5 linked regions of the Canis lupus familiaris genome follow. The protein of the gene in region 3 interacts with the protein of the main gene of each other region in a pairwise test. Links are inferred from orthologs where the notes say so. Each region holds a gene or a part of one and is shown on either strand. Other genes may lie near its edges. The genes, in order: SEC23IP, NUP62, SSC5D, EXOC7 and NECAB2.

Region 1 (3,515 bases), on a different chromosome or scaffold from region 3:
GAGATCAAGCCTCACATTGAGCTTCCTGCTCAATGGGGAGCCTGCTTCTCCTTCTTCCTTTGCCTGCCACCCTGCCTATTTGTGCTTGCTTGCTCTCTCTCTGTAAATAAATCAATCAAACCTTAAAAAAAAAATAATGACAGCAATTTTAAGCATTATAAGCCATACTTGAGTGGCATCATCTGTGTTGAGATGCTTTCAACTAAGCAGTTCCAGCTTGAACTTTCGAATTTTTTATTGTATGACATTGGAATGATGATCTTTTATTGTATTTTTTATTCTTTCTAGGTTTCTGTTGTTTACAACTCATTAGACTTTGAACCAGAGATTTTCTTTGCCTTGGGATCTCCAATTGGTATGTTCCTCACTATTCGAGGAGTGGATAGGATAGATGAGAACTACAGGCTTCCTACGTGTAAAGGATTCTTCAATATTTATCATCCAGTGAGTGACTTGAACTACTTCCTATTTTGAAGAAGATAAAACATCTACATAGAAACACCAATATAGATAAATCATCCTAATAGATTTTCAGATTCTTTTTTCTTAGGAACTAATTCTGATTTTGATGTACACCCAGCTCTCTGTCCTAAGAGAGAATAGTCTGATACCAACCAATAAACTTTTCTGCCAGAAAGCCTTTGTTCAAGGAAATAATTCTGTTGCTTTGCTTGCAAAGTAGTTTTCCTCACAAACTTAGAAGTCGTCTTATAATTACCAGTAGGTGAATGACTTGTGGGGAAAAAAAATCAAAATCTCTGGTTTGCTAGTTATCTATTTTGTCATACAATCAAGATACATAACTGAAGATAAGAGAGCTTTTCCAAAATTTCCAATTCTTCTCTTTACAGCTTGATCCAGTGGCGTATAGATTAGAGCCTATGATTGTTCCAGATTTGGACCTGAAAGCAGTTCTCATTCCACATCACAAAGGCAGAAAAAGACTTCATTTAGGTAAAAAGCAAATACTATAAAAGCTTGTTTCCTTCCTGTCATTTTGTAATCTGTTAGTCCTAATGAAGTATGTTTTTCCTGTCACTTGTAATTGAACTGTGAAAATCTTAACACCAGGTCCTTTCTGACAAAATTAATTTTATTTAAGAGCCTGCTGTGTTTAGAGCCTGTTTATTAAATGTTCAGAAGAGCTATAAAGTTTTGAGTGAGTTGCTTCTCCTTGAATATTTTGTTCTAGATGCGACGTTCTGATGGTTGAAATACTTAGGAATGGGGGATGTTGGTAATAAAGTGATGAGATATACCTATAGATTTTGATAGAATTTGGCCATAATTTTTGGAGTTGGGAAGCAGAGTAACACTTGAACTAAGGACCAACAAGACATAAACTTGATGCTAAGTCAACTGAGCTGTTACTTCCTTGCTAAATAGATAAACTTTTCCAATTAAAAACATTCATTAAACGTAATGGATCACTAAGAATTCCAAATGGGGTTTAGGTTTCTCTTATGCCTGTTAATGGTGTGTATCATCCAGGGGCTTAAAGGTTTGGGTGGAAGGGATGGGAGTGCAGTGGAGAAGAGGGGGTATGTGATCATGCCCTTTTATTTAAAATTGGATTTTCTTTCTTTTTTTTTCTTACATCATTTTTTAAAAAATATTTAACTATTTTGGGATTAAAATGGGAAATTTGATACATACCTTAAAATCAAAAGGATTTATTAGACAAAAGTAGGAAAAATGAAGGGGCAGAGGTTTCTTCATTTTTAAATCAGAGGTTTATATTGTGGTTATATTAGAATCTCAAATTCTCAAAACCATTTTACCATTACAGATAAGAAAAGCAGTCATCTTTTTTATCTTGTGGGCCCATTTTTTTTAACTTACAGAAAAAAAAGCACATGAACGTGTCTACATTTTTATAGTATTTGAACTCTTCCTTCCCTCTTCTTTTTTTTTTTTTTTCCTTTTGTCGAGAGAGGGAATTTATACAGTTTGCCTGGATTAGCTTTGGTTATTAAAAAAGATGACAGAATAAGCCTCTATAAAACATTTTAATATGTTGAGAGTTCTTGGGTGAGAAACTCTGAGTGTTTGGCGTTTAAGAGAGGATTCATCCAGTCTGAGAAGAGTGTTAACTTTGAATTTTTATGGCACAGAATTTCACCTTGTGACTAATTAAGTTGATGTGTCATCTTCATCTCTTTAGAGTTGAAAGACAGTCTCTCTCGTATGGGATCTGATTTGAAGCAGGGTTTTATTAGCTCCCTGAAAAGCGCTTGGCAGACATTAAACGAATTTGCCCGCGCTCACACCTCTTCAACTCAGCTGCAAGAAGAACTGGAAAAAGTGGCCCATCAAATCAAAGAAGAAGAAGAAAAACAAGTAGTTGAAGGTAAATTTGGCATTTGAGGCATTTTCTAGTACAAATGTTATTTGTAAACATAATGAATTATTTGTATACATTATGAATTATTTAATGATGCTTTTCCATTCTGGTCTTTTTTGTTAAAATATGGAGGTTGTTTTTTTTTTTTTTTTTATATAAAGGAAAATCTGTTGTGATAAACTGTACTTCAACATGGATGCCATTCTTTTTCCAGGGTTTTGCCTGATAGTTAGTTGCTGGACTTTTTACTCTGCAATCTTGTTTTTGTTGAGATTCCTAAGGCCAGAGTGGAATATCAGAGTTAAGAGCAAAGCTTGTATTCAGGCATTTTAAAGACCCACTGTGAGAAAATATCTTCTGATGTTGTCTACCTTTGTCGTTTTATTATAGACTTTATCTGCATTGTCAGGTCATTGTGCCATGATGCTTTTGACTCTCTTCAGATTCTAATTCTGTTTCCTTTCTTTCTACAATGCTCTCTCACCCCTTTTCTTCAAAACTGTCAGCTCGTTGGCTCTTTCTCCTCTCTCGGGTAACCAGCCCCTCTTCCTTCTCCTGGCTCTTTGGAGGAATGGGAAGTGAGCCTGGTATCTCCCCAGGTTGCTACGTGTGTCAAGCGATATTCTCTTGAGCCCAGAAAGTCAGCTAAAGTCAAAGGATAATGATTAAGTGATTGACTTTGATATTGAAATGGTTTAAATTTTAGCAGAAAAGATTGTTGAAAGTCCAGATTTTTCCAAGGATGAGGACTACTTAGGAAAGGTTGGAATGCTAAACGGAGGCCGCCGAATTGACTACGTTCTTCAAGAAAAGCCAATAGAGAGTTTTAATGAATATCTTTTCGCTCTTCAGAGTCATTTGTGCTATTGGTAAGTAGTTTCTTCTTTGATAACATTCACGCGGCCTGTAGGTGCTGGCATATACAGCAGTTTTAGGGGAGACTCTTTTGCCGATTTATCACTTACGATGAAATATTAATTTCAATGGCCATATATTCAAAATCCGTATTTTCCCCCGTTATTTTATTATCCACAAGATGGCAGTGTGTCATCTGCCTTTTACCAAAGGACTTTAGTACGTGCACACTGATTTTTGTAGGGGTACCTTTCACAGAATGGAAGTGGTAGGGACTTTGAAAAGCCATCCTTTCATATATCCCCTGTCACCATGG
Region 2 (3,515 bases), about 4.4 Mb from region 3:
CTCTTTTCCCCCAGCTTTCTAAGTGATCCACATTATTGGCATCTTTTTCCTTCCACAATACATTTTATTTAGGAAAGCAACATAGAGTCATAGACAGTGCAGCAAAGTATAAAGACAAATACAAAAAGATATTTGGGCAACAACTGGTTGTCTTCTGGACATCACCATGGATCTCACTGTAACAAGTTAGGTTTGCTTCAGCATCAACAAGTTCTGAACCAAGTCTGTGGCCATCTCTGGTCCCTGTGGCCATTTCAGCAGGCATTTTGGGGCTGAACATTTGATGCCATGTTTCACCTCCGTTGTTCATTCATTCAAATTTGAAAATGTGAGAGGGACTGTAGTGAAGACACAAAAGGGAACAAGAAACAGTCCCGGCCCATGGGGGCTCATACTCTAAAGGGGAAGCAGAGAAGTAAACAGTCTACACAAGACAGTGTGGCAAGTGCTACCAAAGATGCACGCTCTGTGTGGTATAGGGGCCACAGGATAGCCACCTGACCCAGCTTTGGGGTGGCTGAGAGGGCTTCTGGAGAGATAAGGCCTAAGATAAAGAGACCTGGAGGATGGGGTGTCATGTCAGCCAGACAAGACCTGCTAGTGCAAGTCTGACCCTTGTCTTAACACTGCACTCATGTCCTTCCTCTGAAATTCTACATCTCCTGGTCAGTCCTATTCACTATTCCCTTCTTTGTACAGGTGGTGAGTTTCCACAGGTACACACCTCACACCAAGATGCTGCCTTGTCGAGGACAGAGACTCTTTTCCCTGTACCTAAGACTATGTGTGGGACATAGTGGACCCTAAGCAGATCCTAGCTGGGAGACAGATGGTTTTGGATGAACTTCTCCAGCACTTCTCTAGCACTTGGCTGGAGCAAGAAGGATGGGGTAGGTGGTGGTTATAGTGAAAACGGGTCAGGGATACACAAAAGATACACAAAGAAACCACATCCACCAGGCCGTCTGGACCAGAGCACTGGAATATTTTCATTTTCATTACTGCAAAGTCAAACCACAGAAGTGTTCTCAACGGCACAGCCATTTGGAAGAAAGGAACAAACAAGTATTCATTGCAACCAAAAACTAGACAATAATTTGCGCATCACCCACTGCCCCCAACACCCTCAGAACCCACAGGCCCTGAAGCTGGCTGGCGCCTCAGTCGAATGTGATCCGGAAGCTGCGCTCCTGCTCCTTGCGACGCCCCTCACACACCTTGGTCACCTCCTCCACCTTCCTCTGCAACAGGGCCGAGTTCTGGTCGATCCACTGCAGCGAGTCCATGTGCGCATTGAGGATCTTGCAGATCTGCTGCAGTGGGTCGCTGGTGTCGGCAGGGCCTCCAGATGTGTTCAAGTGCTCGATGATGTCCTTGAGGTCTTGGGCCATGCGCTTTAGCTGTGCATCGATATTCTCTGCCAGCTTGTAGGTTTTCTCACGCTCCTCATCGGCATGCTGCAGGTAGACAGTGCCACTCTGCTCCTTGACCGACTCCTCCAGTGGGCTCAGCAGGTCTTCCAACTCCTTCTGCTGAGACAGGATGAAGTCGAGCTCTTGGTCCAGCCTCTTCTGGTCCAGCTTCACTTTCTCCACCTCACGGTGGAGGGTAGTGATCTTCTCCCCATTCTCAATCAGTGTGCGGTCCCAGGCATTGACCTGTGTGGCCTGCTGCAGGAAGTGCCGTTCCTGGTCCTCCAGCTCCAGACTCCACTTGTTGATCAGACTCTCCAGCTGGGCGTAGGTCATCACAGGGCTGGTAGATGCCCCAGTGGCTGCACCAGGGCCAGGTGGTGCGGCCACAGCAGCCGGTGCATTGCTGGTGATCCCGGCCGGTGCAAGGGGCTTCAGATTCAAGGCAAAGCCAGTGGTGGTAGTGGTGGCTGCAGTGGTGGCTGCAGTGGTGGTGGTGGCCGTGGTGGTGGATGTTGTTGTGGAGGCCGTAGAAGCTGCTCCAGTGGCCTTTAAGCTGAAGCCCAGTGTTCCAGCTCCAGGAGTTCCAGCCGTGGTTGATGGGGTACAAAGAGAAAGCCCAGTGGTGGTCGATGAGGTTGGAGCAGTTGCTAGAGAGGCAAACAGTGTGGGCCCAGCACTGGTAGTGGCAGCAGTGGGTGCAGGAGCAGCTGGCTGTGTGGCTCCCGCTCCAGTGGCTGCTGGAGTGGCAGGAGTGAAGAGCAATCCAGCAAGTGCCGTGGGCTGGGTTGAAGTCCCCATTGAGCCAATATTAAAACCTGAGGTCCCGGTCTGGGACGTGCTCCCCGCTGTGAATGAGAATCCCCCTGGTGTGGTGGAAGGAGCAGCAGAGGTGGTGGCAGAGCCAAACATGAAGCCGGTGGGTGCTGTGCTCTGGCTGGAGGTGACAGTGCTCGAGATGGCATTGGTGAGGGTGCTGCTGCTGAGCCCAAAGCCGCCAGGGTGTGCTGTAGCTGGGGTGGCAGCCACGCTGCCCAAGTTTAGCTTTGGTGTGCTGATGCCTAAGGAGAATCCAGTTCCTCCTGTGGCAGGAGTTGTGGTTCCAAAACTGAATCCTGGGGTTTGTGTTGCTGGAGCCTGGGTTGTGAGGGAGAAGAGGCCAGTAGAAGGAGTACTTGCAGCTGGCTGGGAGGGAGTCCCAAAATTAAACCCACCAGTGCCAGATGTAGAGAAAGAAAACCCAGTAGCAGGAGTGGTTGTCGCCGTCTTTGCAGTGCCAAATGTGAACCCACCTGTGGGGGCCCCAGTGCCTCCAAAATTAAACCCACTCATGGCTCCAGATTCTGGTGGCGGCAGCTACTCTGGCTCCCAAAGCAAATCCGTCGGTGTCTGAAACCTTGGGAAGATTTTTAAAGCAGAGTAAGTCACATGATCAGATGGCAGTTTTGGAAAGGCAACCTCAATGCAAGATGGAACAGTCTGTAGGGTGGCGGGACTGGATAATTAGAATATGTGGCCACCATCTCACTCCCTGTCATAACCTAGCCAGGCCCTGCTAAAACTAGAAAAGAAAGATCTGGAAGCATAAGCTCATGCATGGGAGTCATGTGCTAGGAGCCAGATGTGCTTGGGACATGCACGGCCATGCTCAGCACAAGGAGTAATCTGTTGCCCTAGAGGAGAAGGCCAAAGGGCAGGCACCTGAACTGACCTCAGCCCTGAGGAGGAGCTCAGATTCAAGACACTTCAGGCAAGTGGGACTAGAAGCACACAAAATAACACCTTTAGGAACTGCTCCCCAAGTTTCCCTGCTAAATGCAAGTGGGAGGTGGTGGGTGGTGGACTGATCTGGTTGAGTGCCACCCCGAGTACCTTTCTGGAACTCACAGAGAAGCCCCAGAAAGCTGAGCTGTATGGTAGGACATGAGGCACTGCCCTGGTTTAGGAGGACAGAGGGCAGGGCCTGCCCTCTTCCTAGCTCAGGGATGGGACATGGGTCCCAGGACTGCTAACTTGGACCAGGGTCTCAAGAAGAGGTGGCCTCCTTCACCTGGAGGTGTAGGGCACAGATAATGTGCATATCAGGCACCCCTTCATCTTTCC
Region 3 (3,515 bases):
CTCTTCCTGGCCTACCTTTCCCTCCTCCCCCACTCCTTCCTTCCACAAATTCTTTTTTTTTTTTTTTTAAGATTTTATTTATTCATAGAAACAGAGAGAGAAAAAGAGAGGCAGAGACACAGGCAGAGGGAGAAGCAGTCTCCATGCAGGGAGCCTGACGTGGGACTTGATCCTGGGTCTCCAGGATCATGCCCTGGGCTGCAGGCGGCGCTAAACCACTGTGCCACTGGGGCCACCCCACCTTCCACAAATTCTTAAGAACCATTCTGGCTTGGCACAGACATAGCCTGAGACCCAGTCCTCACTCTCATGGATCTGACTGGGTCTGCTGCCGGACCCAGCAGGCACAAGGCAGCAGCAGTAGCAGCCCACAGCTGTAAGTGAGAAATTATGAGGGCAGCAGGCAGACAGGGGGTGCACACCAGACAGGGGGGCAGGGGGTGGGATAGGCTTAAGCTGACTCATGTGAAGGGGAAGAGGACAATGACACCTGGGTCTCTGCTCTGTGCCAAGCAGCGTGCTGGGCACCTCCCCTGCTGTCTCTGAACCTCACCCCCATGTGGACGGCCACTGGGGTGGGTGTTCTCACCCATCTTCACAGGTGTGGAAACAAGGTTCAGAGAAGTAACCCTAATAACCTAGGTTGCAGACTTAGCCCCGGACCCAGAACTGGGCCAGCCGGGCCTGTCCCATTGCACAGACAGATGTGCTGTGCCTGCCGGGGATCTGAAGCACAGGGTGCGGAAAGGTGGAGACAACAAGGCAGGGGCACCGGGCAGCAGACCAGGGACAGTGAGGGTGGCTCCCCCATGTGCCCTGGGGTGGGCAGCAAGTAGGGGCAGAAGTGGGGCCTTCAGAGCCCAGGTCATGGGAGATGAATTGAGGTGCCAGAGAGGGCTAAGCTGCTGGGGAAAAGAAGTGAACCCTGTTGAGGTACCAGGGTGTAGAGGGAGCTCGGTGCCTTAACAACATCTTTAATTCCCAGAGCAACCCCATAAGGGAGCTCCTCATCGACAATGAGGACATGCAAACGCAGGCAGGTCAGACCCTTCTCTGGTCATTTTTTTTCTCTAGAGCACTGACGGGTGATTTTGCTCCCCCCTCATATTGGGGGGTAGAAAAATGGCCTCTCTACTCCCCAGTGGTGACCCAAGTCTCACCCCAAAGAGAAATGTACTCTAAAACCCACAGGAAGTTAGTATGCAAACTAGTGGTTCTCCACAGAGGGGGTTAGGATTCCCTTTTACCCAGGGGACATTGGGCAAAATCTGGTTGTCACGCTGTAGAGGCTCACATATGGGGAGTGGCGCCCAGGGATGCTGCTGGACATCCTCTGGTCACAGGATGCTCCCCCCAGCAAGGAATGACCTGTCCCCCCATGTCAGAGTGCTGAGGTGGGAAAGCCCTGCTATACAGGCCTGAGGCAGGCAGCTGGGGAGTAGGATCAGGGCCAGTATCCCCACAGCTCGCCACTGGGGAGGCAGGGGCCTCGGGAGGTGGACAGACGACATATGGACTCTTGGTGAGTGACTTCCAATCTCAGAGCAAACAGAAGGGGGAATGTCTGCTGTCCAGCGTCATCATGGGCACGAAGCCTGACCCCGTGGACAGCTTAGTATGTGAGCATGTGTGCTAGCTTCCTGCACAGGGAGTACACACCGCAGCCTCCCCGTCTGTTACCCCTCTTCTCCCCACATCCAGGCCCGGCCCCACGGCTCCGCCTGGCTGATGGTCCCCATGGGTGTGCGGGCCGCCTGGAGGTGTGGCACGGCGGGCGCTGGGGGACAGTGTGCGACGATGCCTGGGACCTGCGGGACGCCTCTGTGGCCTGCTGGGAGCTAGGCTGCGGGGCTGCACTGGCTGCCCCCGGAGGCGCCTTCTTTGGGGAGGGGGCTGGGCCCATCCTCCTGGACGACCTCCGGTGTCGGGGTAACGAGACGGCCCTGCGATTTTGCCCAGCGCGGCCCTGGGGCCAGCATGACTGCCACCACCGGGAGGACGCAGGGGCCGTGTGTGATGGTGAGGAGGACAAAGGAAGAGGCTGGGGATGTGGGTGCTCTAGAGCCTCAAGTGGAGGCATGAGAAGTGGGGAGCTGGTGTGGTTTTGCAACGTGTGCCCCATGTGCCACTCCATCCCTCTGTCCTGACTGCCCACTTGCCCCACTTTGTCCTCAGCCTGAGACCTCAGTTGGCATCCATAGTCCCAGGATGAGGGTGTGGGGAGCTGTCCGGCATTACTGAGGCAGTGGTGGTCACCTCTTCCCCTGTCCCTGCGTACCCCCAGGTATGCCTATTGGATACATCCCTCCCACGGCCCCGGCAGTGGACAGCAACCACTCTTTGCCCAGGGAGGCAGCATCCCGGCCCCCAGGCCCCACAGGGAGCCAGGCCCCAGGAACCGCCGGCATCTCGCCTCCTCCCGCCTCCCCCACTGCCCCTCGGGAGCCTGGACCAGAAGCTGGTGAGTCTCTGTCTCCCCAAGAAAACGGGGATTTACCTGCTGCTTCCTCCCCCTTAGCCAGCCCCCAGACACCCCTTCTCCCTGCTCAAAGACTGTCTCATCAGGGCAAGGGCCAAGACAAGGGTGGAGGAGAGAACAGAGCCCTGCGCCTGGAAGGGTCCGTGCTCAGTTAAATCCTCTGCTGTTGCCATTGTGAAATGTGTAGTTTTGGGGAGGCTGTCTCCTCACAAAGACCAAAAGGACTGGATCAACCACAGTTGTCATTTTTTTTTTTTTTTTTTTTTTTTTTTATTTAAGTCACAGACAGAGAGAGAGAGAGGCAGAGACACAGGCAGAGAGAGAAGCAGGCTCCATGCACCAGGAGCCCGATGTGGGATTTGATCCCGGGTCTCCAGGATCGCGCCCTGGGCCAAAGGCAGGCGCCAAACCGCTGCGCCACCCAGGGATCCCACACAGTTGTCATTTTTAAAACATGGGCCTTGATATCATTCAGGTGCAGTGTGGCCTGCAGACAAAATGGGACTGCCACTGGAAAGAGACAGTGTTTCTATCTCACACAGTTGAGGGGCCACATGGGGAAGCAGCAGGGGGCTGGCCAGGGGGCGGGGGTGGGGGGGCGCAGACAGAGCCCTGACTGTTGCTTCTGTGGGAAGGAGCAGGTGAGGTCAAGTAGCAGGCTCAGGGTCAGCCTGCGAGCTGTGGGGTTCAGGGGCTGCCCCTGGTTGTCGGGCGCCCGGCTCTGGGGGCTAAGGGCAGGTAGACAGGGGCCCCGAGTGTGAGTCCCACGGAGCAGGTTGGGGGGGCGGCTGCGATTGGCTGGTGTGCACACAGAAGGCCCGCTCCGGTGTTTTCCTGCCTCTAGGAATGAGCTGTCCCTGGGGAGGGTGGGCAGTCTCCCCAGGGTCAGTGAAGCCCCAAGATGGCAAAGCATCAGAACGTAGACAAGGAAAACACACTGTTAATGCAGCTGTCGCTCACGGGTGGGAAACCTGTTCTTACCAGGGGCCTCGCTCCCCACCTTTCCCAAGTCTCCTAGCACCGCTGGCTTACGTGT
Region 4 (3,426 bases), on a different chromosome or scaffold from region 3:
TGCTCCAGCCACCTGAGGGATGCCTGGGAGGCAGAACACCCCCGATTTTCAGGACCGTGGGTGACGGGAACTATGTTTTCTGCATAAATCCATGAGCAGGTCAATCCTGCTACCTTTTTCTCCATGCTCTCTGGCTTTGCTGTGGCCTGCCCTACCCACACTTCAGGGCTAAAACAGGTGGTCCCCACCCGCAGCTCTGAGCTGGGCCGGAGGCAGGCTGTTTCCCCTCCTGCTCTTGTACACACGAGGCAGCTGTGGGCACAAGCCCTTTGTCCTCCTTCTCTGTCCTTTCCTGTCTAGAAGCCATCACGTGGCCCATGCAGCTTGAGGGTCATGAAACCTAAGGTGGGAAGGAGCCCCAGTATTCTGGGAGAGTGCTGGTCAGGGGTGGGGGTGGGTTCCAGGAAGAAGTGCAGACCAGGACTCGGGGCGGGGGGGTGCTCAGGGACAGCTCTGGGCTGGACAAGGGGTGGAAAAAGTTCCTGTCCCAAAGGATGTCAAACTCACCAGGCCCAGAGTTAACACTGGTTTATCTGTCCAATAACAGGGCTGACCGGGCAGTACCAGGCAGGGAGAGCAGCAGGCTCAGGCAGAGGTGTCAAAGAGGCGATCGATCATGTCGCCCACCTGCTCCACGCGGTACTTGATGTACTTCTCAGGGTTCTTGGTGAACGGCACGCTGCCATACCTGCCCAGGCACTGAGGTCAGGGGCAGCCTGGCCAGCCCCCCAGCTCCACCGCAGCCTAAGGTGCTCCTGACAGGCTGCCCCTGAGAGATGTCCCTTTCTGGCCCCACAGCAAAGCCCACGGCCCTGGATCTGCCACCCACACCCTCACGCCCCTCTGTGTGTTCCTGTAGAAGAGAAGAGCAGAGACCCAGCAGGGGAAGCGCGGGGCCCAGGGCTGGGAAGGTGGAGACAAAGGGCTCACCTGTGCAGAAAGGCCCCGTACGTCTCCCTGACGATGTTTTTCTGAGCTTGGCGAATCTTGTCTCTCTGCTCCATGTCAGGAATAGCCCAGGCCTTCTGGATCTTGCACAATTCTTCAAGGCCATCATTGAAACCCTGGCCACCAAAAAAGTGGAAATGGGAGTGACCCAAAGATAAAGACTTTGGGTCCGTGTCCCTGCAATAGCAGCAGGAAGCACTGGAGGTGGTGGGGGGTTGGGTGAGCAGGGAAGACCCCAACTCACCTTGAAACGCTCTTTGATCATCTGTCGCTCCTTGTCCCTCAGCTGGGGGTGGTGAGAGAGGGCAGAGAAAGTGTTCCTCAGAGCAGATCTGCCCTGCCACTGGCTCCTTCCCCAAACACCCAAGCCTGGGCCTGGCCCTTCTTCTGGATACCGTCATGGCCACAGGCAGGCATCATTTGCTCATCCCAGCAGGATGCTTGTCCATTTTTTTCCCCAGAGACATGACACAAAGTATCACATCTGCTAGACACCCCTTCCCAGCCCAGGCCTTCCGCCCACCTTGACTCCGGGTTGGAATACAGGTAGATTCTTCTCAGAAATGTAGTCAGTCACCTTTAACCAGCTGTCAGGTGGAGAGAGAGGCAGAAGGCAGAGGAGGGACAACCTCAGGCTGCTGCCTCTTTCCAGGGGCTGGTTTGTGTTGTTTTTTAAATCTACTAGGGGAGGGGAGGTCAACGATCCATGGGGGTCAGAACTCAGCAGAGCACAGTGAGATTTCTCCTTGGGAAAAGAAAATGTTCAAGCTGCTGGCTTTTAAAATTAAGAACAGGAAACAACATTCAATAAATTGAACAAATAACTAGCAGCTATGCCTCACATCGATCTCCTGGAGAATAAAGATGGAGAAGCAGATGAGGAAGAAAGAAGCAGAAGACAGACAAAGCAAGGAGGAGGGAGACCACTTACAGGAAGAAACACACAAACCAAGGAGAAACAGGGGCAAGGAGCAGAGGGAGCCCTGGGGGCGAGGAACAGAAGGAGCTCTGAAGGACGGGTGAGGAGCAGTGGGAGCACTACAGAGCGAGGCTCAGGAAGTTTGAGTATTCTTACAACCTTGCTCTTTGCTTGGCCTCACATCCCCACACCTCTGATATGCAGTTTTTTGAGTCTTCTTAGCCTGCACCCTTGGCACACCACCCTCTAGAGAGGCTGGCCATAGCAGCCCCTAGGGAGCAGGTGGTGGTAGGGAGGGGCTTCCCCTCCACCTGGTCAGTGTGGTGAAACAGCAAGGGGAGCATTGAGTTCATAGGGGAGCAGTTCCCCATTCCTGACCCCACTTGTAATGAAGCTTGGACAGGAAGAGTGAGTGAAGGACACAAGCTTGGGGGTAATGGGGGGGGGGGCACGGTGGAGGCCCACCTCCGCTGGTAGGTCTGGATCTGCTGCTCAATGTGCTCCCGGTAGGAGCGCTCAGCAGTCTTCTGGGTCACAGCCACCAGCTGGATCAGCTCAGACCTGGGGCGGGGATAAGGAGGAAGCAGAGGAGGGCCGCATTGGCTCTTGGGGCCCAAGGGTAGTGAGCCTCCGCAGCAGCACCAGCAGGAGGCCTGCCTTATGCCTGTGCCCCAGGTCCTAGGACTCCAGGAGGTCAAGGGCTTCCCTCCCCACCTGGCCAGGCAGAGGGTGCAGGCAGCCCCAGGAGGGAGGCAGGCAGGAGGGCAGGCAGGAGGGAGGGAGGCAGTGTGGGAGGACAGGCAGGAGGGCAGGTAGGCGCAGGCCCCTGCAGCCACTCACTTCTCCAGGGCCTTGAGGATGTAGTTGTAGTTGTTGTGCAGAAAGATGGCGCTCAGAGCTGGGTCCTCATACACTTTGGACTTGCTCAGGAGGTTCAGCTGCAGGTTGCCCAGGACTTTACCTGCACAGGGAGGGTGTGGCTACATCCATGGGCAGTCTGACCTAAATGACCCAGTCCCTGTCCCAAGAGCCTTGTCCTTCCCAACTCCAGACTCCACAAGCCTCAGGAGCCCTCTGCCCACAGCCCAGCTCAGCCCCTAAACTGGAAGTTAGGCTGCGATTCCAAAGGTGAGGCTCAGGAGAGCACTGGGAATAGCAGGAGGGCACAGAGGAAGGAAGGGAAACGCCAGTGGAGGTGGGCAGGTGGGCGCGGGGGGCTGCCGGCCAGCCAGAGAGCACTCACAGATATACGTGCTTAGCAGGCGCTTGCTGAACTCGGAGCTGTAGCTGGTGGCTGAAGAGCTGGTCTCTGGGAGAAGAGAGGCCTGTCACTGCAGCCATGGCAGCAGCCAGGACCCTCTCTGGCCTTCCCTCAGCCCCTGGAGCAGCTGTGGAAACCTTGGGGTGGGGGTGGGGGGGCCCTGAGCCTTCCTCAGGCAGACTGGACGCAGAACGGGGAAGGGGTTGGTCTGCTGAGCTGCCAAGCTCCCACCTGCTGCAGGAGCACCCCCTGGGCAGCCTCTTCCTGGAGCCCAGGGCAAGCCCCTCTATGGTGATAG
Region 5 (4,153 bases), on a different chromosome or scaffold from region 3:
TACCCGGGCTGCTCCAGCCCAGCGGCATGAGGGCTGAAGTACACCAAGCACCTACTATGTGCAAGACATCCTGGCATCACAGACACCAACTCCTTGAATCCCTGTGGCATCCCTACCAAGCAGGAACTATGTGTAATTCCACTGTGAGACAGGGAAACTGAGGCACAGGGCAGAGCCAGGATTCGGCTTTCTTGACTTCAGAAACCATCACGTACAAGGCGGTCCATGTCCCAAGCCCGGGTCCCTGCCCCCGAAGCGTGAGGATAGAAAGAGCCAGGACCTTGTTCAGGGGACAGCCTGGGAGGGAAACTCACCATTTTTGTCCGCCCGGCGGAAAATCTGCAGAGAAGAGAAGTGGAGTCAGCCTGGGCCCCAGAGGGGCAGGCGCCCTCCAGTGACTCCCAACTCATCTTGAGATCCCACGCCTGGGGGTGGTGCAGGGGGACCTGGGAAGCTGAGCAGCCCCTCCCCCAGGAGGCCCCCGCTGGGATCCAGGGCAGGAGGGATGCTTCAGGCACAGCCTTCCCAGGCGCCTGCGAGGAAGCAGCACCCACTCTTCTTCTGTGCCGACATGCGCACACACACGTGGACACACACGCTCACACCGATCCACATGCTTGCGGGTGTGCTTGCAGAGCCAGCAGTCCACGCGGCCTCACCCACTGTGCTACGCTCAGTCACACAATGGGAATCTGTGTCCCACGGACACAACCACACGCCTCATACCGCTGCACCCCTCTCGGAAGCCCGTGGGAGCCCCGATTTCCCCCCACGGAGGTTGGTTTAGTGTCAACAGAGAGGTCTGCTAAGGGAACCTCCAGGCCTGGCAACTGGGCCAGCCAGGGGCAGCACTGGATTATTTTTCAGGTGGGGGAGTGGGTGGAAGCAGGCCGTGAAGAGCTCAGAAAGCCAGCTGCAGGTGCCAGGTTCTGGCTGCATGGGGAGGGGGTGGGGGAGGGATGGGGGAGTGACAGCCACCCCCCCCAAACCTGAGCTGAGACCAGATAAGTCCTCCTGGTATTTTTAGAAGAAGGTGAGCCACAGGTGAACAGAAGGAGCAGGGGGAGGCACTAACCCCTCTGACCATCTGACCTTTGGTGCTTGCCCTGGGGCCAAGGACAGATGTCCCCCCCATCCCTTCAAGTACTCGAGACTGTGACAAACTGAAGCAGCAGCTCAGAAAGGGCTTCCTACACATCACCCCCCTCTTCCCTCAGCTGAAACCCTAGCTGGGGGTGCTCGAGCAGGAGCTGCCGTGGCTGGGGCAGAAGGGAGACTAGCAGAGCACCCATTGCCCGCCTGGGCACTCCACACCCCAGCTCCCCACTGCAAAGTTCTCTGGGGCTGGGGTCCCCCCCGCAGGTGCCCACACTGGCCACGCCAAGCAAGTGAATGGTGCAGACCACCTAAGGTGGCTCCAGGAGTCCGCTCCCCACCCCCACTCATCGCTCCATCTCCTAGATAGAGGAGTCTCGGAGCGCACCCGCACCCGCACCAGGAGGACCCCGAGCCTCCTGCCCGCACTGCTGGGAACGGGAAGGGTCTGGACAGGGCTTCCCTGCAAGGGTGGCCCCGGTTTTCCCCGCACGAACTCTGTGGGGGACCTGAGAGAGGATCTGGCTGTGCAAGAGTGTGTGTGCGTGTGCGCGTGCCTGCATGTCTCTGGGGGCAGCCTCCAGCACCCCACCGCCCAGCTCCCCCTTCCCTGCCCAGCCCTCTCTGCCCAGGGCCAACTGTGGGTTCCAGGAGAGAGGAAGGAAGGGGGAGAGGAGATCCACGCTCCCCCTAACAATCAGACCTGCAGACACAACTGTCCCAGAAGCCCCAGGAGCCCAGGACCCTCCCCGGGACAAGCACGTCCTGTGGCCGCGGCCAGGCTGTCGGGAGGTGGGGTGGTGCCCGGGGCAGGGCCCCCACCGCCTCGCCCTCCCCGACGCCCCCTCCCCCAGCGGTCCGCCCTGCAGAAGCTTCCTCCCACTCCTGGGGAGAGGGCGGGGGAGCGGGGGGAGGTGGGCTTCCCAGAGGGGGGTGGCTCGGCTCCCGGGCGGATGGGTGGGGGTTGAGCCACCCCGGGCGTGAAGGGCTGAAGGGCTGACGCGGCTCAGGCTGGAGGGTCCAGGCTCCGCAGACGGGGGTGGCCCCGATCCGCTGAGAGGGGGGACAGGAGGGGGCTTCGCTTTCCAAGAGCTGCTGGCTGCGGGGAGGGGGCTTTGGGGCGGGAACACGCGGGCTCCGGGTCCGCGGCCAGGATGGGTCGGGGCACCGGAGCCTGGGGCCGGGCGGGAGGGGGTCTCGGAGAAGTAGTGACTGGGGCGGGGTGGAGAGGAGGGGGCGGGAGGCGGCAGGGGCGGGAGGGGGAGGGTGGGGCGAGGGCGCAGCCGGGACCGAGGGAGGGGGGCGGTGGCCGGGTCGAAGGGTCGCGGCTCGGAGCAGGCAGGTGGGGATCCCGAGCCGGGGCGGGAGGGGCGTGGGGGCAGGGGAGGGGCGTGCGGGCGCGGGGTCGCGGGTCGGGGGCGCGGGGCGGGGGCGCGGGGCGGGGGCGCGGGGCGGGCGCGGGGTCCGGGGGCCGCCGGCGCGTACTCACGTCCAGGATGACCGCGGTGCCCCCGCGCGGGGAGCCGGGGCCGGGGGCGGCGGGGCCGGGGGCGGCGGGGGCGGCGGGGGCGAGCGGCGCCCGGGGCTCGCCCATCCTGGCGCCCACCCAGCGCAGCAGCCCGCCCAGCGCCCGGCCCTGCGGCGGCGGCTCCCGGAGCAGCCTGTGCGCGCCGGCCCTGCACAGGCGCGCCGCCCGCTCGCACATCGCGCCCGCCCGCCCGCCCGCCCGCGCCGCCCGGAAGCCCGCCGACCCCCGCCCGGCCCGCGGCCCGCCCCCGCGCGCCCCCTCCCCGCCCCGCCGCCCCGCCCCGCCTCCCTCGGCCCCGCGGCCGCGGCCACCGCGGGGGGGGCGCTCGCCCGGACCCCGGCCACGTGCCCGCGTCCCCCGCCCCGCCCCGCCCCGCCCCGCCCCGGCGCCGCGGCAGGGGCCAACCGCGGGGGGCGCTGCGGGCCCGGACCCAGCCCGCGCACGGAAGGGGCGCCCGGGAGGCCTGGGGTCGGGGCGTCGGGCTGCGCGGGCGGGCCTCGCCCGGGGCCGCCCCCTCCCGGAGCCCCCGAGGCCCCCCCGCGGCGCCGACGCAGGGGCCGGAGCGCAGGTGTCCGGCGAGCCCGGGGCGCCCCCTGCTGGCGGCAGCTCCAGGAACCGGCGCCCCCGCGCTCGGCCTCCCCCGCCCGCCCGCCCGCCCGCCCGGGGCCTGCGAGCCCCCCAACCCTGCCGCAGCCGAGCGCCCGGCCGGCGCCCCAGCACCCTCTTCCCCTCACGCCCCACCCACCACCATCCACCTGTCCAAAGGATGAGTGAGGGCCCGTGCCAGGTGCTGGGTTCCACTAATGGGACTGCGGGGGGGCGGGGGTGGCTGTCCTCGGCCTCCTGGAACCTACGTCCAAGTGGGCAGAGTCGGCTGCGGGAGCGATTCCGTAGACAAACGAACTATTACTTCTGAACGCCCGGGAACCTTGGGCCACCAACGGGACTGCCCTGGTGACGGAGGAGGCTGCCTGGAGGAAGTGGCCCTTAGGTGACCGCAATGGAAGAGGAGTTAGAGAGAAGAGTAAAGTGTCCTGGGTGGGAGACCCGCCCCTGCAAAGGCCCTGTGGCCGGCGCGAGCTGAGGGAGCATGAAGGACTGAAGAGACAGTGAGACCAGGAGGGAGCGTGGGAGACAGTCAGGGGCCAGGCTGGAGGGGTGGGCAGGGCTGTGAAGGCCCCCCCAGCATACCCTTCCCCCCACACACCCTCCCCTCACGTCCCTAACACAGCTGTACCCAGACTTGGACACCATCCCTTATCACAAAACTCCCCATCCCAAGGACCTCCCACATGGCCCTGTGCTTCCCGGGGCACCCAGCCCCCTCCCCACACACAGAATCCTCAGACACGGGAGTGGAGGCAGGTACTGGGTTTAATTGGAACCTGATTCTGGAAGCAGTAGAGCCTGGAGTCCTCTTGGCTCAGCTGGCCCTGGTGACCCCAGCTCTTACCAGCAGCTTTCACCCTAAATCACTGCCCCCCCTGGCCTGCAGCATCTGTTCCCACCCTGGTACTAGTCTGAGTCCCG

What was found.
Region 1: the proteins of SSC5D (region 3) and SEC23IP interact in binary tests that used the Homo sapiens proteins (3 or more experiments, as listed by UniProt). The two-hybrid records come from large-scale screens. The link is inferred for Canis lupus familiaris from reciprocal best matches to the Homo sapiens genes SSC5D and SEC23IP.
Region 2: the proteins of SSC5D (region 3) and NUP62 interact in binary tests that used the Homo sapiens proteins (3 or more experiments, as listed by UniProt). The two-hybrid records come from large-scale screens. The link is inferred for Canis lupus familiaris from reciprocal best matches to the Homo sapiens genes SSC5D and NUP62.
Region 4: the proteins of SSC5D (region 3) and EXOC7 interact in binary tests that used the Homo sapiens proteins (3 or more experiments, as listed by UniProt). The two-hybrid records come from large-scale screens. The link is inferred for Canis lupus familiaris from reciprocal best matches to the Homo sapiens genes SSC5D and EXOC7.
Region 5: the proteins of SSC5D (region 3) and NECAB2 interact in binary tests that used the Homo sapiens proteins (3 or more experiments, as listed by UniProt). The two-hybrid records come from large-scale screens. The link is inferred for Canis lupus familiaris from reciprocal best matches to the Homo sapiens genes SSC5D and NECAB2.

The regions. Positions count from the first base shown.
Region 1 is NC_049249.1:30,334,548-30,338,062, forward strand, and holds part of SEC23IP (SEC23-interacting protein), read left to right. Parts: intron 1-288; coding exon 289-444; intron 445-851; coding exon 852-954; intron 955-2,164; coding exon 2,165-2,350; intron 2,351-3,050; coding exon 3,051-3,213; intron 3,214-3,515. UniProt on the Homo sapiens protein: Plays a role in the organization of endoplasmic reticulum exit sites. Specifically binds to phosphatidylinositol 3-phosphate (PI(3)P), phosphatidylinositol 4-phosphate (PI(4)P) and phosphatidylinositol 5-phosphate (PI(5)P).
Region 2 is NC_049222.1:107,332,781-107,336,295, reverse strand, and holds part of NUP62 (nuclear pore glycoprotein p62), read right to left. Parts: intron 2,809-3,515; 5' UTR 2,745-2,808; coding exon 1,161-2,744; 3' UTR 1-1,160. UniProt on the Homo sapiens protein: Essential component of the nuclear pore complex. The N-terminal is probably involved in nucleocytoplasmic transport.
Region 3 is NC_049222.1:102,980,898-102,984,412, reverse strand, and holds part of SSC5D (soluble scavenger receptor cysteine-rich domain-containing protein SSC5D), read left to right. Parts: intron 1-1,701; coding exon 1,702-2,019; intron 2,020-2,284; coding exon 2,285-2,461; intron 2,462-3,515.
Region 4 is NC_049230.1:5,431,690-5,435,115, reverse strand, and holds the end of EXOC7 (exocyst complex component 7), read right to left. Parts: intron 3,177-3,426; coding exon 3,111-3,176; intron 2,829-3,110; coding exon 2,708-2,828; intron 2,429-2,707; coding exon 2,333-2,428; intron 1,536-2,332; coding exon 1,472-1,535; intron 1,235-1,471; coding exon 1,193-1,234; intron 1,065-1,192; coding exon 931-1,064; intron 689-930; coding exon 586-688; 3' UTR 513-585; downstream 1-512. UniProt on the Homo sapiens protein: Component of the exocyst complex involved in the docking of exocytic vesicles with fusion sites on the plasma membrane.
Region 5 is NC_049226.1:68,838,594-68,842,746, forward strand, and holds the start of NECAB2 (N-terminal EF-hand calcium-binding protein 2), read right to left. Parts: upstream 2,801-4,153; coding exon 2,585-2,800; intron 340-2,584; coding exon 315-339; intron 1-314. UniProt on the Homo sapiens protein: May act as a signaling scaffold protein that senses intracellular calcium.